3 linked regions of the Macaca mulatta genome follow. The main gene of each other region encodes a partner of the protein of the gene in region 2 in a complex. Links are inferred from orthologs where the notes say so. Each region holds a gene or a part of one and is shown on either strand. Other genes may lie near its edges.

Evidence for each region. The genes of interacting proteins can lie anywhere in the genome.
Region 1: RIPK3 (region 2) and ZBP1 share a complex: the UniProt entries of both Homo sapiens proteins name them as parts of the AIM2 PANoptosome complex. The link is inferred for Macaca mulatta from reciprocal best matches to the Homo sapiens genes RIPK3 and ZBP1.
Region 3: RIPK3 (region 2) and AIM2 share a complex: the UniProt entries of both Homo sapiens proteins name them as parts of the AIM2 PANoptosome complex. The link is inferred for Macaca mulatta from reciprocal best matches to the Homo sapiens genes RIPK3 and AIM2.

The regions. Positions count from the first base shown.
Region 1 is NC_133415.1:110,406,848-110,415,000, forward strand, and holds the end of ZBP1 (Z-DNA-binding protein 1), read right to left. Parts: intron 7,295-8,153; coding exon 7,091-7,294; intron 5,753-7,090; coding exon 5,534-5,752; intron 4,112-5,533; coding exon of another isoform or gene 4,041-4,111; exon of another isoform or gene 2,995-4,040; coding exon 2,747-2,994; 3' UTR 2,585-2,746; downstream 1-2,584.
Region 2 is NC_133412.1:97,454,753-97,463,237, reverse strand, and holds RIPK3 (receptor-interacting serine/threonine-protein kinase 3), read left to right. Parts: upstream 1-4,082; 5' UTR 4,083-4,301; coding exon 4,302-4,321; intron 4,322-4,530; coding exon 4,531-4,671; intron 4,672-4,805; coding exon 4,806-5,115; intron 5,116-5,567; coding exon 5,568-5,713; intron 5,714-5,839; coding exon 5,840-5,886; intron 5,887-6,093; coding exon 6,094-6,261; intron 6,262-6,371; coding exon 6,372-6,439; intron 6,440-6,654; coding exon 6,655-7,029; intron 7,030-7,169; coding exon 7,170-7,230; intron 7,231-7,744; coding exon 7,745-7,965; 3' UTR 7,966-8,115; downstream 8,116-8,485. UniProt on the Homo sapiens protein: Serine/threonine-protein kinase that activates necroptosis and apoptosis, two parallel forms of cell death. Necroptosis, a programmed cell death process in response to death-inducing TNF-alpha family members, is triggered by RIPK3 following activation by ZBP1.
Region 3 is NC_133406.1:107,849,233-107,856,976, reverse strand, and holds part of AIM2 (interferon-inducible protein AIM2), read right to left. Parts: intron 6,567-7,744; exon of another isoform or gene 6,433-6,566; intron 3,387-6,432; 5' UTR 3,367-3,386; coding exon 3,105-3,366; intron 1,216-3,104; exon of another isoform or gene 1-1,215. UniProt on the Homo sapiens protein: Sensor component of the AIM2 inflammasome, which mediates inflammasome activation in response to the presence of double-stranded DNA (dsDNA) in the cytosol, leading to subsequent pyroptosis.

The DNA of each region.
Region 1 (8,153 bases), on a different chromosome or scaffold from region 2:
CTCCCATCTACCCACCTCCTCTTGGCACACCAAGGGTTCCCCAAAGCAACTCCCTGTCATCTGCTCCTGGCCGTCAAAAGACCTGGCCCGAACTCATCCCCACACCAGGTCCATCCCCCAAAACTGACTCATGCAGGTTATGTCTGGAAGCAAGCAGGACAAACAAGACACTTAAGGAATGCAGAGAGCAGCAGGCTAGTGTCCCTAGCATGCACCCACCCCCACGTGTCCAAGCCCCACGTGAGGCTGTGCATGAAATCCCACCTCCCCACCAGCTCCCCTAGTGTGAGGCTTCATCCACATAGTCGCTGCCTTCTGCAGCTTTGTGACTCCTGTTTCCAAGAGTCATAGCTTCCAGCTTGGGGGTGAGCTTCGAGGAGTTTCGAGTGATGGGCTGACCAATGTCTTGAGGAAAGTGACTTCTGGATTGTGTGTCTGTGGGATGAGGACCTGGGGAAGAGAAGATGGGGGGTCAGCTTCATGGGCGCGTGGCCTGGGCGTTTCCACAGGGACCCGCTCTTGGAAGGATCTCAAGCTCAGCTTGAGCCTTTGTTGTTACTGTCTAGATTTGTACTAAGTCTTGAACAGGGAGCCCCACCTTTTCACTGTGCATTGGGCCCCCAGATCATGTAGCCAGTCCTGTCCTAGTTTCACAGCAGTGAAATGGAGGAGCAGAAATGATACCAGAAAGCCCCCATCCCAGGGCTCTCCCAGTCCTCCCAGGGGCCCCAAAGGATGGCTCTCCATGCCCTGGCACTGACAGTCTCTGATCAGCAATTTCCTCAAACAAAACAAAACAAAACAAAACAAAACAAAACAAAAACATTCCAGGCCTTACACCTCTCAGGATAAGGTCCTGCCTGCCACTCAAGGAGGAAGTGACAGGCAGACCTCATTTTATCGCACTTTGCCTTGTTGTACTTTGGTTTATTACACTGCATAGATATTGCATTTGTTTTTCATGAGTTGAAGGTCTGTGGCACCCTGCATGGAGCAAGTCTATCAGTGCCAATTTTTCCAGCAGCATATGCTCACTTCCTGTCTCTATGTCGTATTTTGGTAATCCTCACAATATTTCACACTTTTTCATTTTGATTATATGTGTTATGGTGGTCTGTGATTGGTGGTCTTTGATGTTGTTATTGTAATTGCTTTGCTTTGGGGTGCCACAAATATCACCTGTATAAGATGATGAAGTTAATTAATAAATCTATGTGTTCTGACCTGTCACTGCTCAGCCGTCTCCTCCTCTCTCTCCCTCTCCTCAGGCCTCCCTATTCCGTGAGACGCAACAATATTGCAATTAGGAAAATTCATAACCCTACAATGGGCCAGGTGCCATGGCTCATGCCTGGAATCCCAACACTTTGGGAGGCCGAGGCGGGCGAATCACCTGAGGTTGGGAGTTCAAGACCAGCCTGACCAACATGGAGAAACTTGTCTCTACTAAAAATACAAAATTAGCCGGGTGTGGTGGTGCAGGCCTGTAATCTCAGCTACCCAGGAGGCTGAGGTAAAAGAATCGCTTGAACCTGGGAGGTGGAGGTTGCAGTAAGCCAAGATTGCGCCATTGCACTCCAGCCTAGACAACAAGAGTGAAACTCCATCTCAATAAAATAAAAATAAAAAAGAACCCCAAATGGCGTCTATGTGCTAAAGTGAAAGGAAGAGTTGCATGTCTCTCACTTTAAATCAAAAGCTAGAAATGATTAAGCTTGGTGAGAGAGGCAGGCCCAAAGCTAAGACAAGTTGAAAGCTAGGTCAAAAGTTAATCAAATTGTGAAGGCAGAGGAAAAGTTCTTGAAGGACATTAAAAGTGCTACTTCAGCAAACACATGAGTGATGAGAAAGTGAACCAGCCTTGCAGCTGGTGTGGAGAAAGTTTTAGTGGTCTGGATGGAGGATTGACCAGCCACAATAGTCTCTGAAGCCTATACCTCATCCAGGGCAAGGCCCTTGCTCTATTCAATTCTAAAGGCTGAGAGAAGTGAGGAAGCTGCAGAAGAAAAGTTGGAAGTAAGCAGAGGTTGGTTCATGAGGTTTAAGGAAAGAAGCCATCCCCATAACGTGAAAGTACAAGGTGAGGCAGCACGTGCTAATGGAGAAGCTGCAGCAGGTTACCCGGAAGCTCTAGCTAAGATCATTGATGAGCACGACTGCATGACAGAGCAGGTTCTCAATGTAGACGAAACAGCCTTCTATTGAGAAAAGATATCATCTAGAACTTTCATAGCTCGAGAGGAGATGTCAATGCCTGACTTCAAAGCTTCAAAGGGGCAGGCTCTCTTGTTGGGGACTAATGCAGCTGGTGACTTTCAGCTGAAGCCTTTCCTCAGTTACCATTTTGGAAATTCTAGGGCCCTTAAGAACGATGCTAAATCGACTCTGCCTGTGTTCTGTGAATGAAGCAACAAAGCTAGATGACAGCACCTCTGTTTATAGCATGGTTTACTGAATATTTTAAGCCTAGCATTGAGACTTACTGCTCAGAAAAAAATATTCCTTTGAACATTTTACTGCTCATCGTCCATACCACAGGAGCTGGGTGTTCAGGATCCTGGGCTAAAGGCCAAAAAAAAAAAAGTTTGTTTGTTTGTTTGTTTGTTTGTTTTTTTCCTGCTCATTGACAATGCACCTGTTCATCCAAGGGCTCTGATGGAGATGTAAAAAAGAGTTAATGTTGTTTTCATGCCTGCTAGCACAGCATCCATTCTGCAGCCCACGGATTAAGGAGTAACTTCAACATTCACTTCTTATTCTTCAATAAATACATTTTACAAAGGCATAAGTGCAATACAGAGTGATTCCTCAGATGGATCTGGGCAAAGTAAATTGAAAATTGTCTGGAAAAAATCATCAATCTAAATGCCATTAAGAACACTTGTGATTCACGGGAGAAGGTCAAAATATCAACATTCACAGGAGTCTGGAAGAAGTTGATTCCAACTTTCATGAATGACTTTGAGGGGTTCAAGACTTCAGTGAAGACAGCAACTGCAGATGTGGTGGAAATAGGAGGAAAACTCGAATTAGAAATGGAATATGAAGATGGGACCGAATTGCCGCAATCTCATGAGAAAGCTTGAACAGATGAGTTGCTTCTTACGGATGAGCAAAGAAAGTGGTTTCTTGAGATGGAATCTATTCCTGGTGAAGATACTGCGAACATTGTTGAAATGACAACAAAGGATTTAGACTGTTATATAAACCGAGTTGGTAAAGCAGCAGCAGGGTTGGTGGGCTTGGTTCCAATTTTGAAAGAAGTTCTAGTATGAGTAAAATGCCATCAAACAGCATTGCATGCTACAGAGAAAGCTTTCGTGAAAGGGAGAGTCCATTGCTGCAGTGGACTTCATTGTTGGACTTCATTTTAAGAAATTGCCACAGCTGCCTCAACCTTCAGTAACTGCCACCCTGATCAGTCAGCAGCCATCAACATCGAGGCAAGACCTCCACCAGCATAGAGAAGATGACTGGCAGAAGACAGATGATGTTTAGCACTTTTAGCAATAAGGTATTTTCACATTAAGGTATATACATTGTTTTTTAGATACAATGTGATTGAGTGCATACCTAATAGACTACAGCCTCGTGTGACTATAACTTGTATGTGCACTGGGAAATCAAACATTTGCATGACTTGCTTTATTGGGGTGGTCTGGAGCTGACCCATAATATCTCTGAGCTATGCCTATAGATGTCTCTTGGCGACAAAGAGAGGTGGGTGGGTCAGGACAAGGGGTAAGAATGTCATCAGCTCCTCTGCTGGAACCTCAGAGAAGAATGTCAGGATGTGGCAGGACAAATTTGGGCGTGTGGTCATTTTTTAACAACACAGAGCTGTGTTCTTTCCAGAAAAAGGAGTCTTCAGTGGTCTGGCTTGAGACCCACAGGGTTCTGCAGACGGCCTGTGCTGTGGGGTCCTAAGCCAGGTGGGGGATGGAGGACTGGTGGCACACGCCCTCCTGGGGGTGCCCAGTGGCCTTGGAGGTTTCTGAGACTCCCTTTGCTGCTGGAAGGGAGTCCGTGCTCCCAGATGCTCATGGCCTGTGCTCCTGGCCTGTGCTCCTGGCCCCCGTTCCGCAGGTGTCACATGGGGCTCCCAGGGGTCCTGGAGGGAGAGTTTGAAGGCAAGGCACGTGGGGCCAGGGTCTCCTCAGTGTGCCGGGACAGCAAGGACATGGCCCTTGGGGTGAGGAGAGCCTCTGGACTTCCAGGACATGCGTCCCCTGGGCCTTCAGGCACTGGAAGGTGGATGCTGGCCAATCCTCCAGATTCTGTGAATCCACGTTTTCTACCCACTGGTGGGATTGGGTGTGACCCCTTATTCCAGATCCCAAAAGGGTAGGAGTGCAAATCCTCCTTCTAATTCTTTCTTCATATGGGAGGCATAAATCTCATCCTGCCCCTCTCCTGCTTAAGGCCCCCATGGCTCCCAGTTGCCTTAGCATCAACTGCCGCCTGGAGCTAGACCCTGGCTCTGCTCTCCACACTCAGGTCACCCTCAGACCCCTGTGGGTTCCTGTACTGTCATGTCCTCACCTCCAGGCCATTGTCCACACTGTTCCACCCACCAGGTACACCTGCCCTGTATGGATCCACCTTGTATGGACCTGCCCTATTCTCCAGCTGCCCCTACCCCAGGCCCCGAGCTCCCTTCTGCAGAGTTGGGATCCTCGGGCTCTGCAACCAGCCTGTGCAGCTTCCAGGGGCAGAACTGTGGCTGGGAAGGTGAACCGCGCTGGTGTCCCCTCTCCCCTCTTCCTGTTGGCAGTGGAGCCCCTCCCCTCAGTCTCTGCTGAGCTTAGGCTGCCTCGACACAGGCGGCACTTCCCAGATCCCCCGTGGCTAAGTGCTGGCCCTCGGAACAGCGCAGATGCGGTGGGTGGGCTTGGTCAAAGACAACAGCGGCTCTCTGTACCCTGTCTTGCCCCTCTGCTTGCTGGTGCCAAGTTCAACCCCACAGATGAGGATAGAGCCCCAGGGACAACTCATCCCTGAGGGAAAAGAATCCCTGGTCTGCTACCCTCACCCAGACATGAGACCTGGGCTTCGAGCAGGCGGGGCCACCATGTGTGGCGTCTCTGCTGCGGCAGGTCAGCCTGTGCCCTGATGCAGAACCTTATTTGCATGGCAACCCAGCACCTTTCTGGGCCCAAAACAATCATGACAGCAATAACACTCCTATCTCCTGAATGCTGGCAGGGCTGGTGCAGGGCTGAGCTCTGCCTTCAGATTTTATCTCAGCCTTGCAACCACTGTAGGGGTTGCTTCAGGCTATTCTTACCATCCCACTTTCCAGCTAAGGAGACAGAGGCTCCCGGGTGAAGTGACTTGGGTGGGCCCCTCCACTAGGCGGACGGAGCCTCGAGCTCTGACTGTAGAGCTGCTGCTCCTCGCTATGGGTGAGCATTGCCTCCAGACTCTGGGAAACCAGAGATTAGCGAATGATTGATGAGAATGAATGAATGAATGAGTGGAAGGTGGGGAGAGAAAGAGAACACACAGGGGTCCACTCGGTACCCCAGCTCACCTGCGTCCTCCCTTGGCTGCCTGTCTCCAGACCCTGCGACTCCTCCTGGGCCAGCCACCCCTGGGCTGATAGACATTTTGTTGCTGTTGCCGATGGTGGCATCCTCGAGAAAGCATGATTTCATGTAGATTCTCTGGGCGGCATCCCCCTTGGGGTGAATTCTTGGACTGGGCATTCTTGCTTCAAACAAAGCTTCTGGGCCGGCAGCAGTGGCAGAGACTGTGGGTCAAAGGGAGACAGGCCTGGAGCCAGGAGCAGCTGGATAGTGGCCCGGAGCCCTGACCCCCAGACTGACTCACCCTCCTCCCCAGACCTCCCACCAGCGGCCCACACCATCCCAGGCGCACAGCCTGTGCCTGCCCACCACACCTCCACACGTGCTGTTGGGCTGCCTGGGAAGCGTCTTTCCACCAGCTGGTGGGTCTGCCCCACTGATCCTGCCCAGCTGATCTGGACGCCAGTGTCTTCTGGGATTCAGCTCCTCTCTCCTCTGCTGCCTGCTTCCCACTGCACTGGAACACTGGCCCCCACTTTTGGTTGAAATCTTATGGGGGCTCCCAGCCTGGCCCCAGCCCCTGTCATCTGGCTCTGCCCTTTCCCACCCAAACTTCTGAAGAACCATCCACACTGAGTCTCACCTCCTCCACTCCCCAGACCCCTTCTGCTCCCTGGTTCCCAGAAACCACCCCCGCAAGGTCACCACGACCCCTCTCGCTGAACCCCACAGATGCTTCCCTGGGCTCGCCAGCCTGGCCGCTCTCTGGTGACTCCTTTCCCGGGGCCTCTGCTTTCCTCCTCCCTCTCTGGCTTCCCTGCTGGTTCTTCTCCCCCAGCCCATCTCTGCATTCCCACTGCGGGGGAGGCCTTTGCCCGGGGCCCTCTGGTCACTGCAGCCACAGCACCTAGTAGGGCACCTGTCTTCCAACCTCCCTAAACACCATTCCAGTATCAAACCATCACCCTACTCCAGCTGGCCCAGCCTCTGCTTCTCTGCCCATTTTACAAATGGGGAAACTGAGGTTTCCTGCAGTGGGTTGTAGGGGATGGGGATCCAGAGGGCTAGCTTTATTTTATTTATTTATTTATTGAGATGGAGTCTCACTCTGTCACTCAGACTGGAGTGCAGTGGTGCGATCTCCGTTCACTGCAACCTCTGCCTCCCAGGTTGAAGCAATTCTCCTATCTCAGCCTTCTGAGTGGCTGGGATTGCAGGCACATGTCACCATGCCCAGTACTTTTTTTTTTTTTTTTTTTTTTGGTATTTTTGGTAGAGACATGGTTTCACCATATTGGTCAGGTTGGTCTCGAACTCCTCACCTCAGGTGATTCACCCACTTTGGCTTCCCAAAGTGCTAAGATTACAGGTGGGAGCCACTGTGTCCAGCCTAGAGTGCTAGCTTTAAAAACCCCACCTGCTCTGCTCTGGTTCAGCTGCCTGGTGGAAGGAAAGGAATTTCCCATCATGCTTCTCTGCCCACAAAGATTCTGGCTCCAGTTCCTTCCAGTGAGGACCCACGGGGTGACAGGGGTGGGTCTGGCCTCTAGATCCCCAGTTACCTGGAGGGCTGCCAGGGGGGCTGTGGGCAGGGCCCTCGGACAGCACGCCGTGAAGCCTCATCTCATTGCTGTGTCCCAGCTGCACCCGTCTGAGCATGGACCGCTCCATGTGGATGTCCTGGGGCCCCCAGGGATCATTCAGGGTCCCCTGAGTTGAGGAATGACCTGGTGCCATTGAAGGGAGGTGGCGGGGACCAGTAGAACCTGGCAGGGGACAGTGGCACAGCCTCACCAGAGATTACTGCAGGCTTCTTCCCCCTCCTCACCACCACCCACAGTCCTGTCCTCTGAATTCTTCCTAGACACCATCAAACTGGGGGCCAAAGACTTCAGGCTCTGGCTTAGACAGCAAGAGTACCTGGCAGAATAGCTCATTTTGGGGCTCCCTGGGTTCTCAGGACTGGGGCTGGTGCCTGGATGTTGCAGGGACACTCACAAACCCAAACAATGAGCTCCTCGTTCTGATTCTGTCATTCCCGAGCCTTCTGATCTCATAGAGACAAAGTCTCCTTTGGTGCTAACACCAAAGGCTCAGAGCCTTCTGCAGTGTTTTAACTGCCAGGGACAACATTTATTTTTATGGTGATTTTAATGGTTTTCATTTAAAATAATACTATAAAATTGTTTTAAAATAAAATTTTAAAAATGTGCACTACTCAACATTAATTAAATAATCAGACATGGGTATGGCCAGAATCGGGAATGTGGGGCTCAGAGGATTAAAGCTGGGGAAACTATGATCTAGATTCTAGAACAAAGTTCCTAGTTTCACAATTGGGGAAACTGAGGCTGACAGAGGGGAAAGGTTCTCCCAAGGTTACAGGGAGTGTCCCGACTTTGGGGCTGAAGCTGTCACTCACAGGTGACAAGGCTGGGCTGACAGGTGGCTCTGTTCCCTCTTGCCACAGTGCCCAGCACAGGGTAAGGGCTCAAAGTGCAACACCTCATTTCATCCAAACCAGGATAGCACAGGTGGTGAGATGCACCCCAGTTTCCAGCCTGTTAAAATGTGGGGGAAAGTTGCGTGTCTCAGAACAAATACTGTGCTATGATCACCTCCCCT
Region 2 (8,485 bases):
TCTGACTCCTGAGTTCAAGCGATTCTCCTGCCTCAGCCTCCTGAGTAGGGGGGATTACAAGCACGTGCCACCATGCCCGGCTGATTTTTGTATTTTTAGTAGAGATGGGATTTCACCATGTTGTCCAGGCTGGTCTCAAACTCCTGACCTCAAGTCATCCGCCGCTCTCGGACTTCCAAAGTGCTGGGATTACAGGCATGAGCCACTGGGGCCGGCCTCAATTATTTTAGGATATACTCAGGAGTGGAATTACTGGTAGCAGATCTTTTTTAAAAAATTAGTCCCGGCCAGGCGCGGTGGCTCACGCCTGTAATCCCAGCGCTTTGGGAGGCCAAGGTGGGCGGATCGCCTGAGGTCGGGAATTTGAGACCAGCTTGATCAGCATGGAGAAACCCTGTCTCTACTAAAAATACAAAATTTGCTGAGCCTGGTGGCACATGCTTGTAATCCCAGCTACTAGGGAGGCTGAGGCAGGAGAATAGCTTAAACCTGGGAGGCAGAGGTTGCAGAGAGCCGAGATTGTGTCATTGCACTCCAGCCTGAGCAACAAGAGGCAAATTCCGTCTCAAAAAAAAAAAAAAAAACAAAAAAACAAAACAAAAAACAAAAACAACAACGACAAAAAAAATTAGTCCCAGCATTTTGGGAGGCCAAGGTGGGCGGTTCACCTGAGGTCAGGAGTTCGAGACCAGCCTGGCCAACGTGGTGAAACCCCGTCTCTACTAAAAATACAAAAAAATTAGCTGGATGTGATGGCAGGCGCCTGTCATCTCAGCTACTCGGGAGGCTAAGACAGGAGATTGGCTTGAACCCGGGAGGCAGAGGTTGCAGAGAGCCGAGATTGCGCCGTTGCACTCCAGCCTGGGCAACAAGAGCGAAACTCCATCTCAAAAAAAAAAAAAAAAAGAAAAGAAAAGAAAAGAAAAATTAGTGAGCCACTGTCTCTCATTTCTAAGGGTCTGACATGATGTTAATTAGTTTCATGGTTAAACTTACTGGGAAATTGCTGTTTCTTCCTGTGTCTCATGCGTTCATTCTGGGATAATTTTTTTTTAAATCTTCTTTGTGCACATCCATTAGAAACTTCTTTAGGAAAGTGACTGTTCGTAGTAAACTCAGTTTTCATTTATTTGAAAATGTCTTTTTTTCTTTTTTTACCTGTCTGTAAATATAAAATTGTATACACACCAAAGTTATCTTTTTCAGGAACACTTTTCCTGTCTTTGAGCACCTTAAATTATTTCAACGTCTTCTGGTTTTTACTTGGCTGTTGAGAAGTGTATTTCCAGTTTAGTTACTGCTGCTTTGTAGATGATCTATGCTTTCTTTTTAACCTTTAATGTTGTTTATTTGTGTTCACTGTTCTGCAGTTTCACTGAGGTATAACTAGAGTGAATTTCTTTATATTTATCCTTTTTGGCACAACTATATTTGTGTATATTTGACTTTTTATATTTGCTCATTTATTTATTTAGAAACAGGGTCTTGCTCTGTTGCCCAGACTGGAGTGCAATGGTGCAATCATAACTTACCATAACCTCCAACTCCTGAGCTCAAGCTCTAACCCTAACCCTAACCCTAACCCTAACCCTAACCCTAACCCAGCTCAGCCTCCCAAGTAGCTAAGATTACCAGAACTGGCAACCTTTTATTTTAATTTTTATGTTGTAGAGATGGGGTCTCACTATGTTGCTCAAGCTGGTCTTGAACTCCTGTCCTCCAGTTATCCTCCCACCGTGGCCTCCCAAAGCACTGGAATTACAGGTGTCAGCCACTGTGCCCAGATGGATCCTTGTCTTTCATCAGTTATTGAAAATTGTCAGTCATTTTTTCCTTAAATATTGCCTTGCCCCATTTTTAATTTTTCACTTCTCTTCTCATGGGATTCCAATTTAACATGTTAGACCTACTCATTCTTTGTCTCTTAACTTTTCTATTTGCTCATCTTTGCTGCATTCTGGAGAATGTCTGCAGATTCATCTTTCAGTACACTAATTCGTTCTTCAGCTATATCTTCTGTTTAACCAAAATCTACAATTTCAATTTTAATGGTTACATACATTTTTTATTTCTTGATGTTTTATTTTTTGTAAATATATCTGGACATTGTTTATGATCTCTAATGCCTTGCTCTTTTATTTCTCTACTCTATTTTTTATTTCTTTAAACATTTTACAATAGCTTCTTTAGTTTCTTTATCTGATTATTCCAAACTCTGAGTTTCCAAATTCCAAGAATCAACCTGTGCCTAGGTCCACCCCCACACCCCCTTGCTGGAAGCTGAGGGTCCTGTTAGGCACTTACTCTAAGGTTCTTCTCCCTGCTCTTCCTTCTTTTAAAGGGGCTGTTTATTTTGAGTCAAAAAGTTGTATAGGCCCTGATACCACACCCAACTTTGTGCTTCACAGTAGTTTATCCCTGATTCTCAGGGTCTCATACCAATCTGAAGAAACCTGGTTATAACACCTTTCCAACTCCTTTTTGCCTGCTTCCTTCAAGTGGAGATACTGAGCCTGGGTTATTCTCTCCAAAAAGAATCACAAAGGGAGTGGCTACCCCTTTTGATGGTTCTCAGCTTCTGACTCTAGGCTTTTCTGAGGACCTGCTACACTTCTTGCCTTCTTGGATTCTGTGTGATACCACCATATCTCTATACTAAAGCCTACTTCAGACGGATTTCATGAACTGTGCAGGTGAGAGCCCTCAGTCCCTATAGGAACCCGATCTCCTCTTTCCTCCTACTGAGTATGGAGCTCCATCTAGGATGATCAGTGCCTTAAAAGAGGCTTAATATTTTTGGTTGTTCATTTATTCATTCAATTCAACAAATATTTATTGGGTATCTGCCATGTATTGGCTTTTAAAGAGACTACAGTTGAACAATTCCCTAAATAGCTCCAAAATAGCATGAGCTGACCCTACCAGAAGCCATGGTGTAGCTCTCCAGGAGTTGTTCTAGAAAAAACTGCTGATCACTTCTGCCTCAACCAGAAGAGCCCATGGACCACTGGACAAAATGGAAAGCAAGTACCAAGGTGAGCACCTTTTAGTGAAAGCCAACACACAACCCACAGGGTTGAGTATCCCTGTGAAGGACTGAGTGCCTAGGGCTGGCCCTATCGGGTTCCCACAACCTCCAGTCATGGTCAGACCTCCAAAAGGTAAAATATGGACACCTTTTTTCTGCCCTAAATCTTTAAGACTCTCCATGCTTCTGGGTTATCAAAAGCCTGTGTCCAGAGCATGTGCTTGTCAGGAACATTAATTAGGGTATTTGCATGCAAGAGTTGTCATGCAAAGGAGAGGGCAGGAAAGCTCTGAATTGTTTCCACTGCAGTGTACACCACAATGTCACCAACTTGCTGGATGGGCTGGTATATCTAGCCTTACCACAATGCCCTTGGAGTGGGTTTGGGGTCTGCCAGCTCAAGGAGCTCCTGTTCATAGGGCATGTAAGTCCCTATGAACATATAAGTCCCAAGGAATACAAATAGGGATCCTTCACTACATCGTTGGATGCTTCACAACTTTCCCAGCCTCCTGCAGGACCAGCTGAGTGGTCCTGCAACCTGTGTGAAAACAGGTGAAACCTATGTGAAAACAGCCCTGAAACCTATGATGTGAAAACAGGATAACTTGATGGTTCAGAGCCATTATTTCCATATGGGCTTAGGCAAGGTACTTAAACTCTCAGTGTCTCAGTTTCCTCATCTATAGAAAGGTAATAAAAGCAGTACCTATCCCCTTAGGGTTCGTGTGAGAATTAAATAAGCTAATCTATGTACCTGGTGCATGATAAGTTTTATATATGCATTGGCTATGATCTTAGGGCAGCTATGAGAGAGCTGAGCCCCAAAACCATAAAACCTGCCTAAGCACCATCTCCACTCATGGCCTGGCAGGTGGTGGAGCAGGAAATCCTGTGGGAAAAGAGAAGGCTTTGACTGTAGGAGTGGGTTGATTGTGGGTTCCTGGAAGGTGAGGACCCATTGCCACACCTAACCTGGCCGCTGCATGCGGCAGGCACTCAGGAAACGCTAGTCAGGGAGAAAGACACTAGCTTTCACTTTGCCCCCTGCCCCACCCCAGGGGCGGGACTGTAGAGGCGCCTGTAAGGGAAGTTGTTCAGTCAACTCAGAATACGGGTAGCAACCCGGAAAGTGGAGTCACCGTCCTGGTCTAGAGACTGATCCCTGCAGAGACAGATCCCTTCCCCTCTCTGCCAAAGACCGCAGCCCCAGAAGTCATTCCATCTCCTACTGCTCGCAATCTCCAGAGGCCCCCTCGCACCTTCCAGCCTGATGTCGTGCGTCAAGTTATGGTGAGTAGGGAGTGGCATGTCGATCGCAGCCTCCGACATTCACACCCAGAGCGCCCCACGGACTCGCTCAGAGAACGCCTTTGAGTCTGGAGACGGTGGGGGCCGGCGAGAGAGGCCGGGGATTGCAGTAAGAGCGCCGAGTCACAGGGGCGCGGGGAGCAGCGCTGGCGTAGGGCACTGCCGGCTAGTGGGCGACACCCCTGTCTCAGGCCCAGTGGTGCCTCCGCCTCCTTGGTGTCCATCGAGGAACTGGAAAACCAGGAGTTCGTCGGCAGAGGCGGGTTCGGCACAGTGTTCCGGGCGCGATATAGGAAGTGGGGCTACGATGTGGCGGTCAAGATTGTAAACTCGTGAGTGACCCCTGTTGCCCCCCCGGCCGCAATCTGGCCAAAAAGGTGGAGCCACTGTGCTCTGGGGCCTGAATGGGGAATGGAGGGATTTTTCCCACGACCCCGGGTGACTCCAGCTCTCTCCTGGAGTGTAGGAAGGCGATATCCAGGGAAGTCAAGGCCATGGCAAGTCTGGATAACGAATTCGTGCTGCGCCTAGAAGGGGTCATCGAGAAGGTGAACTGGGACCACGTGCCCAAGCCGGCTCTGGTGACTAAATTCATGGAGAACGGCTCCCTGTCCCGGCTGCTGCAGCCCGAGTGCCCTAGGCCCTGGCCGCTGCTTTGCCGCCTGCTGAAAGAAGTGGTGCTTGGGATGTTTTACCTGCACAACCAGAACCCGGTGCTCCTGCACCGGGACCTCAAGCCATCCAATGTCCTGCTGGACCCAGAGCTGCACGTCAAGGTCAGCTGCTCTACACCCCTCTCAGCCTCAGGACAAGGTCCCACCCCAGAGCAGCTCCAGCCAGGCCCACTGGACACCAGACCTCCAGAGCCCTGTCTATTGAATAGGCGTAGCCTCTCCCTCTGGACACAGGGCTGCCAGGGCACAAAGCCCAGCCAGGAGTTTTAGCTCCTGCCATACCAGGTGATAGAGGCCCCGACCCACACGAGTCATTTCCACCAGCTGCCCCACCAACCCCTCCAAAGAGTCATGGCTGACCCAGCCCTGGAGACTCACACCTTGACCCAGCCCTACCACAGGCACCTAGATCTACTATCCAAGGGAGCCTCTTCCCTTGACCTCCACACTCCCTTTACAAAGCTGAACCTGAACCTTCTGGGGGCAAGGGGGTTTCTGGAGGCTGCCTGGCCCCCTTGTCTTCCCTACCTCCCACTTCTTTCCTTCCTTTGCAGCTGGCAGATTTTGGCCTGTCCACATTTCAGGGAGGCTCACAGTCAGGGACAGCATCCAGGGAGCCAGGGGGCACCCTGGGCTACTTGGCCCCAGAACTGTTTGTTAATGTAAACCGGAAGGCCTCCACAGCCAGTGATGTCTACAGGTAAGGATCCCAGCCCAAACACACAGCCGGGATTCCTACACTTCTCTGGGCCCTCCCAGGGGGTGATGTATAGGAAAGGAGTCTTGCCAGTGATTGGACTGGTCCTCAGCTTTGTGTCTCCTGCAGCTTCGGGATCCTAATGTGGGCAGTGCTTGCTGGAAGAGAAGCTGAGTGTAAGACTCTAGGCGGATTCTGGGATCCTTAACCCCAGGTGCCCTTCTCTTGAAAGCCCCAAAGCTTCCCCTTCCTGCTCACCTACTAAGACTGCCCTCCTCCATCCTTGTGCTCCCACATTACACTCCCTGCCTCTTTCCATGATGGAGCAGATATTCCCTTTTACCCTGAATGCCTTCTCTTCTCACCCTCCTCCCCTACTCCAGTGCCAACAGAAGCATCACTGGTGTGTGGAGCAGTGTGCAGGAGGCAGACCCGGCCCTCATTGACTGAGCTGCCCCAAGCTGGGCCTGAGACTCCCGGCTTAGAAGGACTGAAGGAGCTAATGCAGCTCTGCTGGAGCAGTGAGCCCAAGGACAGACCCTCCTTCCAGGGTGAGCTGGCCAATTAGCTGGATCTGGGGTAAGCTTGGGTCTGTCAGCATGGGGCTTTCCTCAGGAAAAGAAGATTTGCTCACCTGCAACCCACTCTGCTGTCCCTCTAGAATGCCTACCAAAAACTGATGAAGCCTTCCAGATGGTGGAGAACAATATAAATGCTGCTGTCTCCACAGTGAGCGCCAACATCACCCCTCTCCAGGAGCTGGTCAGGGATGGCACAACATGGCTACCTGGCCATCCAATGACTCACCATTAACCACAGCTTTTTTATGCCTTGACCTTTGTCCTCACCCTCCCCAGCCCACCCCTGAGTTCCAAGAGACTACTCCCTTGGGTTTACTCTGGCTCATCCAAGTCATACCCAGCAAACTCCTCCCATCCCTGCAGGTAAAGAATTTCCTATCTGAGCTCAGGAGCAGCAATCCGAGATTTTCTACCCCCGAGTCAGGCCAAGGAGGGACAGAAATGGATGGCTTTAGGAGAACCACAGGAAACCAACACTCTCGTAATGATGTCATGGTTTCTGAGCTGCTAAACAAACTGAATCTAGAGGGGTCTCCCAGCTCTGTTCCTGAAAAATACCCGAGCCTTACCAAGAGGAGCAGGGCACAAGAGGAGCAGGTTCTGCAAGCCAGGACAGCAGGGACATCTTCAGATTCAGTGGCCCAACCTCCCCAGACTCCAGAGACCTCAACTTTCAGAAACCAGATGCCCAGCCCCACATCAACTGGAACACCAAGTCCTGGACCCCAGGGGAATCAGGTGAGACATTGGCAGGATTAGGGGATGCACTAAGAGTCCTATAAATGCTGTCCCCTTGCCAGGCAAAACTTGGGGCTGAGAGGAGTGCACTGGGCGGTCCAGGCTCCAGGACAGAACTGGATGCTCTGTGATGTTTGCAGGGCGCTGAGAGACATGGCATGAACTGGTCCTCCAGGACCCCGGAGCCAAATCCAGTAACAGGTACCCACTCTCCACCTCTTTCTTTTCCCTGTTCAATTCTTCCATGAGACTCCTCCTCCAGATCTATATCTAGATTCAGGGTACTTTCTGGAGGCGAGGGGAGAAGATGATCTAACTCAACCTCATTTCATAAATGGGAAAACTGACACCCCCTGAGAAAGGAGCCCTCTGAGGTCACACAACGAAGCTTGGATTTTTCCCTGAGTTTTCTAACTTTCCACAGCATCAGCTCTGTGAGCCCCCTAAGTTCCATTGTTTCAGCAGTCCAGAGGACTTCCCAGCAAAAAAGATCAGGGTCTCAAATGTCAATTGCTACTCTCTAGAGCTTCTGCTAAGCCAGTTCTGGAGAGGAACTCTGAAGGGAAGGGCACAGGACACACCTTAACACAGTCATTTGGGTGACCACTCCACTCAAGGCCAAGCTGGGGGTGGAGACCTCATACTCCCCACCCACCCCCAACTTGGCCTTTCTGACAGCTAAACCCTCCTGCCACCATCACTATTTCTCTTAAAGGGCGACCACTCATTAACTTACACAACTGTTCTGGGGTGCAAGTTGGAGACAACAACTACTTGACTATGCAACAGACAACTGCCTTGCCCACAGGGGGCCTGGCACCTTCGGGCACGGGGAGGGGCTGGCAGCACCCCCCACCAATAGGTTCGCAAGAAGGCCCTGAAGAACCTGAAAACTGGAGCGGGCCACATGGTTGGTATAATCATAGTGGAAAATAAAGCACCTTCAGAGCTTGCCTCCAAGAGTTAGGAGTTAAGGAAGAGCGCCACCCCTTGAGGCCCCTGACTTCCTTCTAGGGCAGTCTGGCCTGCCCACAAACTGACTTTGTGATCTGTCCCCCAGGAGTCAATAAACATGATGGAATGCTAGCCAAAGTCTGAGCTCAGCCAGGGGCCGGGAGGGACTGGGATGGGGGTGGGAGCTGCCAGTGAGGGATAGGGAGGCACCACAACTCTGCTATGGCAGGAAGCGGGGATGCTGGGGGCTGGGAGTGGGCAACGGCCTGGCACACAAGGTCAGGGCACAGCCGGCTACAACAGGAAGGAATCCCAGAGGCCTGGTTCCCCAGACCACTCTAATCTCAGGGCAGTGCTTCCTTTAAAGCCTAGGATGGCGACCCCACCCTAACCCTAAACTCTGGGGATAGAGGCTGTGGTCCCTTTTCTTCTGGGCTCTCAACTCAGTTGCAGCGCTCTGGGAAGGGATGAGTGGGTGTGAAAGATCACAGACCAGGCCCCC
Region 3 (7,744 bases), on a different chromosome or scaffold from region 2:
ACCAACACCAACTCTAATTCGTGGCTTATGTTAATGCTCCTTTGACACATGCTGCTGAAGAACCATCTTCCTTTCCATTAGAGCATTTGTCTCAATTAATTACATTCATAAATTTTCCTGTAAGAAAAATATCTACTTTCCCTTTAGAATATAAGCTGTATAAAATTTGGATTTGTTTTTAACACCTTGTTTTATCATAAGAACCTAAAAGCTTTCCTTGTACCTATTAGCAATTCAATAGGTATTTACTGAATGGATGAAGAAATGGATGGATGGGTGGCATGTTGGCTCCTCACTAATGCCTACAAAATGCAGTTGTATACTTTGGCTGGGCTCCTCCACATCTATGGTCAGGTTATATGTTATTGTGAAAAGCCAACTCCTAGTCCTGATTTTTAAAAAGACCATGTAACAAGATGGTCGTGTTTAATGACTTAAGGCACTCTCAGGCAGAAGAGGGCCTGAGAAATTATTAGATGTCATTTCTGATAGAATTTGAACAACTCTGGGCTGAAATAGCAAGGCAATCACTTTGATTTTACTAAAAACAGAAACGATACTGTTTTATGAGGTAGTAGGTACTCTGTCATTACCTTTCAAAGATCAGAAAGTGGTTGACTGTCTGACAGGGATATTGTAGCAGGATCTCTGCTCTAGAAAGAAGTTACACTAACCTTCTAATGATAAGTTAGTTCCATGCAACTGGTTTCAGAAAGGTATGCAGATAAAGTCTCTTCTATGTTCACAGCATTGGCGAGAAAACAGCATCAAGGAGGCCAAGGGAATCAACCTACCATTCTACCACATCACATCAGCCATACTTCATCTCACACACAGTGGTACCAATATTTGTGGACAAGCTTGTCTGCCCACTATAAATCTCTCATTTGCCTTAATAATCAGGTGGACATTGTTACTGATTATCTCATTTATCATTTTCAGCATTTTATTTTAATCTTGCAGGACTTCTGTAGACTGTGATCACATTTTCTCTTTGCTTCCTTTTTCTATGCTTATGAATCCTTGTATTTTCTCATCTTGCTTCATACAAAAGCTTCTCCTCTCTACTAATTATTGCCTCTGTCTTCATTAAAGATTCTCCAGGTATCTTCTACCTTCCATGGGGTGAGGTTGTGAGTAGAAGAGCATATAGCACTCTACATGCAGACATGCCATGGCAACAGAGAAGGATCACTTAACCAAGAATGATAGTAACTGTTCAAAAAAATGAAACAAAAGTTTTTCATACAATAATAGAAATAGCATGGACACACAAAAATTTCCTACATTCAAAAGAGGCCTAAGTATGTCCACGGATGGAATTTGAGAGCGATGAAGGAACTCAGTTGCCTTCTTGTAGAGCATGCAGGAAGCATACTTTGTGTTTTGTTGTTGTTGTTGTTGTTGTTTGAGACAGGGTCTCACTATTGTTGCCCAGGCAGGGGTGCAGAGGCATGATCTCAGCTTACTGCAACCTCTGCCTCCCGGGTTCAAGTGATTCTCGTGCCTCAGCCTCCTGAGTAGCTGGCATTACAGACGCCTGCCACCATGCCTGGCTAATTTTTGTATTTGTAGTAGAGACAAAGTTTCACCATGTTGACCAGGCGGATCTCGAACTCTTGACCTCAAGTGATCCACCTGCCTTGGCCTCCCAAAGTGCTGGGATTAAAGGTGTGAGCCACTGCACCTGGCCCAAAAGCATACTTTGAATTCTACAACTGTTACATTTGGAGACTCTCATTTGGGACAGCCTCTGGATGATCTACTCCTGAGTCTCCAAGTTAGTCCCAAACTGGATCTTTTTTAGCTAAGTAGAATAACAAAATCCCAGAATCATTAGAACAGCAAAATGGGGAGAAGATTGTAGAAGGGGAAATTTTGTGCTATCCTGGTCAAAGAGAAGAATTAATTCTTGATTTATTGCCAAAATAGAAGATATTTCTAAATATCTCAGCCTATGTTTGCCAATAGATTCCTGTCTCATCCCAGATAAGAAACACAGGGCAGCTGGTTACATGGAAGTAACATGGGTAGTTACCGCCATCTAAGGGCCATCTTAAAGAACTACACCTTCTAACTTAAAGCCTGGGAAAACAACCACTCCTTTCTCATTAGTGCCTTAGAAACTACCTCACAGTTTACATCTGTATAGAATTATGGACCTACATAGTATCACTTATGTGGCTTCATTTAACCTTCTTATAAACCATGTGTGAGAAGCCATGTCACCGTGTTGTACACCCACAAATGCTATTAAAAGCTGTTGTAATCTTTGCTGTTACGGTTTTACTTTGAATCCTAAAACTGTTGCATTTGGAGACTCTCATTTGGGACAGTCCTGGAGTGATATGCTCCTTTGTTAGCTCTTTTTTGTTCTTCAGACATGAAGCCGGGACGTATCAATTGTTCTTGGTAAACAAAATCAGGAATTTAAACTAAATGTATATAATTCAGATGGAGATGATGAGTGATTTATTGAATAATGTTAAAAAAGTCTTTTTGCTGTGGGTAATTTATACTGTCACTGGAGATAGAGAGGAGAGAGAATCCCTGAAGGAGGATTCTCCCTCCCTGAAGAAGGAGGAGATCATCCCCTAAAGAAAGCAGCATAGTCTGGGACCATAGAAAGATAGGGACATGGAGAGAAATAAACAGACTGTGTGAAGGAAAAAAAGGTGCTCAATATCCTGGTTTACAATTTTCCAATGCAATAATTTATATTTTTGAGACTTCAGTAGAATGTGAGAGCATTACATACTGTGGAAATGGAGTTGGGAAAAGTTAACTTTGAAATTCTACATCCATATTCACTGTAATTGAACTGGAGACAAAGATGGGCAAGGAGAAAAGATGATAAATGGAAGTGGTCACCCTAAAGGCTGGAACAAGAGATGCAAACCAAGGCTGGAATGGATTTGTGGAATTTGTAACAAACACTTCCTACAAGTGATTCTCAGTAAAAGGGGGCAAAGAGACAGGTGCACTAAGTTAGCAAACAAATTCCAACAGTGTGCACTGGGGGTCATATCCCAGGGACGCCATGAAAGGAAAGGCCCAGGCTTGGCAGAGAAAGGGACTGGGCAGGTGCGGGACTACCACATTACCTTTCTCCTTCTCTTCCTGAAGACGTTTTGCCAAAAGCATATAATTCAACTTCTGAAAAATAAGAATGGTCTTCTTCACTGCAGTCACTGCACCAGCATTTTGAATCATCAAGTTAGCTACTTGTATTCTGTTTGCAGTACGTAGTTTGCCTGTGGCGACATTAAACTCGTCTGAAAGAAAGAACTTAAACCTATCCAGTTCCTCATCAGTGATGTTATCCAGGCCTGTTAGCAAGAGTATCTCCTTGTATTTACTCTCCATCTGACGACTTTGGGATCAACCTATAAGGAATCCAAAGCATGTAAGATTACAACACCAAAAGGGATTCTACATTCAAAATAAAGCAAGGTGAGCTATTAATATTTTTAAAGAAAAATAAACAAAATGTTTGCAGTAGTAAAAGAGATTTGAATGGGACATAGGTAAGAACTTCTTAAGCAAGGTGATCCCTATTCCTGGGAAAGACATCTTCAGAAAGTATACAACACCTCTGGAATTCTTAGAAAACAGGATACATCAGCTGGGCATGGTAGCTCACGCCTGTAATCCCAGCACTTTGGAAGGCCAAAGCGGGCGGATCACCTGAGGTCAGGAGTTTGAGACCAGCCTGGCCAATATGGCAAAACCCCATCTCTACTAAAAATACAAAAATTAGCCGGGCGTGGTGGTGGGGGCCTGTAATCCCAACTACTCAGGAGGCTGAGGCAGGAGAATCACTTGAACCAGGGGGCGGAGGTCACAGTGAGCCAAGATCGCGCCATTGCACTCCAGCTTGGGCGACAAGAGCAAAACTTTGTCTCAAAACAAACAAACAAACAAACAAAAAAAAAAAACACTACAACAAAAAGGAAACAGGATACATTTTCCTTTTATTTTTAAAATAGATTTATCGAGGCATAACTGGCATACAACACAGTGCATATATTGGAAGTATACAATCTGATAAATTTTGGCATATACATATACCTGATGAAGTGCAATTAATCAATTTGTTCTTTCATGGATCATGCTTTCACTGTCTTATTTAAGAAATCTTTTCCAATCTCAAGATGAGAAGATTTTATGTTTTCCTCTAAAAATATTATGGTTTAATCATTTTATTTGGGTGTATGTACCGTTTTGAGTTATTTTGTATATAGTATAAGCAATGACTCAAAGTTCATTTATTTTTCATATGAATATGAAATTTCCCAGAACCGTATATTAAAAAGACTATCCTTTTTAACGATTTTTTTTACCTTTGCAAAAATCAGTTGTCCAAATATGAGTGAGTCTATTTCTGGATTCTTTATTCTGTCCATCAACCTATTTTTGTATCTTGTTGCCAAAATCACATTGTAGTAATATAGTTGTTTATGTATAGTATCCAAAATAATACACAAAACATTATAAATAATAATTCAAAAGTTTGTAACTATAAGATTAATATGCAGAAATGCATTCCTTTATTCTAGCACCACTCCAAGAGTGAAAAAAATCACGTAAAAAAGTAATTTCCAATAGCAACAAAACTACAAAGTACATAAGAACATCTAATACAATATATTTAAGAGTTTTAAAGGGAACCTTATAAAACTTCATTGGGAGATTTAAAAGACCTACTTAAGTGGGTGTATGTGTGATATTTTAAATGGGAAAACTTGATAAAATGAAGACAGCAATGTTGTCAAATTAATCTATAAACTCCCATCCAAAATCTCAAAGGGTTTTTCATAGAACTTATCAGAATGATATTAAAACCTAAATGAAAAAAATAAAGACAAAAACCTGCAAAACATGTTGAATTGTTTATTAGGATGTAGTATCCCTACTACTAGGTATCAATACTTACTACAAATGTATAATAATTAAATCGATATGGCAGTTGCATAGAGAAAAATGAACTAATAAATAGAGTGTGGAAACAGGACCACATGTAAGTTAAAGCATGGTACATAATCAAAGTGGCGTTAAAAATCACAAGGAAAGAATGGCCAACTATAAAAAGTATTCAGTCAAATGATAATATTCGGGGAATGATATATTTGGCCTTTCTCTTATATCATACACAAATATATATCTGGCTGGATTAATTATCTAAACAGAATAGTAATGATGTTGAATAAAACACAGAATTTCTCAATACATTGAAGTAGAAGGAGGTTTCTTAAACAAGGCACAAAAAGGACAAGCCAGAAAAAAAAACAAACTTTGTCAAATGTGATTGCATGCATATTCTTAATTTCTTTGTAGGAAACACACACACACGTGCACACACACACACTAAACAAAGTGTTTATATAAGGCAAAAACTGGGCAGATACCTGAAATATACATATATATATATATAGCTAATAGAAGTTTTGCTTTTGGAATACATGGAGAACCATGTATCACTAAGAAAACAATAAACAGTCTATTTGAAAAGTGTGCAAAAGATGTGAATGAGCAATTTGCTCAAGTATCCAATAAACATAAAAAAGATGTTTGACATTATTAGCAATTAATGACTTCCAGAGCAGCAACATATAAAGTGGAAGAAATAAGCCGAAGAACAGGAAAAGATGTCTATGAGCTGAAAATAACTGATTGTGAATTTTAGGGAAGCTTGAATACCACCATCAGTAGAGTCAATGTTAATAAATTCTAAACTATCACTGTTAATGGCCTCATAATGTTTTTCCTTATATGCTGGTAAGGGCTGGACAAACTCTACTTATACATGTAGAGTTCATGAGTGAAAATTAAAACTATTATCAGGACCATTTTCAAAATAATAAATACATTAAAAATATTTGTAATGATAAAGCCATCCAAATGCCCCCGTCCTACTGATGAAAGCAAGGAAGGACACTACCTTTGCTGACTATCTACAATCAGCTTGGCATGATTCCTGCTTTCCTACTTGTCTATAAGAAACTAATCTTCCTATAAGCCTCTTATATAATAACAATCACATTTTAATCACATTTTAATAAGATTGACTCATCATTTTCTCTGAAGTTACGTTGTCTTATAAATGAAAAACTTGCATTTTACTTCATAATATCTGTTAACTTAAAAAATGCTTGTATTTGCTATTGGCATAAAAGTCAGTCTTACAAACAGGCTGATAGATAAACCCCAACGGGATCTGAAGCTTAAGGAACACCAGCTCAGAGACACCAGAGGACATGGCTAAAGTGAGTAAAAGATAAATGAACCCATCCTTTCAGAGCTCATGTCCATTTTCCCAGGTTCAAGTTCTCAGAGGGGTGCATAGCATGGCTGGCATTTCCTCAGTTGTCTTTTTCAGCGGAGAAACGGTTCAGTCTCTCCTCTCTAACCCAGCTCCTCCATGGTGCTTACCTCCTGATCCCTGGGGCGATCAGCAAACCGGGTCTGCCACCTTCTCTTCAGAGAGCTTAACTAACAGAGGGCTCAGGAGAGCATGCCCAAATAACCTACGTGACTTTCAAAGCCACAAAGACTCTGACACTTCTGAACAGCTTCACACGTACCCCTAATAAACACTTCCTGTCACCCGCAGGCCCAGTGTGGGTAGGAGTGACAACTGGAGCTCTCATTGGCTGAGCTGGTTTGGGTTCTCACTAGCAGCCACAGAAGAAAATTTCTATAGAAACTTGTATCTGAGTCATGCCACATAGTTACACTGATTGGAAACAGAAAGTGGCTAGGAAACTGTAAAAAATGACCGAAGATGACTTAGTGATACGCTTTGTGACTAAGGGGCCTGGTGATGACATTTTTTTCTGGTATAAACAAGCACACTGATCTCAGAGGGTATCTACAAGCATTGCCAGTATGCCAGTGCAGCTTCTTGTCTTCAAAGCATAAGAGAATCTGGAAATGAGACCAAAGTGAAAGTATAGACATTCTATTGTGGAGCAAAAGCAAGGATACCCTCAAGGGACGAGTGCAGGCACTCAAAGATTGAGTCACAGGCAATGCGGTTCATGTACTACATGAATAAGCACAATGAAGGTATGGGGTACTCTATGATAAAAAGGAAGGCTTTTCTGGGAAATGGGCGGGCAATTCCCAGAATCGGGGTGCCACCCTTTTCTTGACTAAAGATGGTTAATCCAGAACTGTCATGGCGTCAGGTGCATGATGGGAGTGGGAATTCCCCCATGGAAGTTTTATGATATTAAGGCACAATGAAGCTAAGGGTCAGCAGTCAGCCAAGTTTTCGACCATCTTGGCTTTAACCAGTTGCAGCCGGTTTCTTCTGTGTTACATTCTCATCTGTGCCTAAGTAGGAAGTTTGCAATCTGTCTTCGTTGTCATAGCCTGTTGTAACAGTTCCTGTCTACTAGTGGGGCAGTCCCTCTGCTAACCATTTTGACCCCATTTTTATTGCTTGTAGCCACATGCAAGTAATCGTGCCTCATTCCCTCACTGACTGCTTGCCTCAAAAGCATATATACAGTCTTTCTTCCTAACCAGGCTCCTAACCCTAAACTCAGAGCTTGAGGGCTTGATTCTAGTCTGCAATTTACTTGAGGTTTTCCTTTTTTATTCATTGAATTAACAATTATGCACTGAACATCTAATACGATGTATTAGATTCTGAGAATATAAAAGTTAGTAAGACAAAGTTCCAGATGTTCAGCAGCTCTGCCAAGTCATGGAAACAGACATGTAATTTAATAATCAC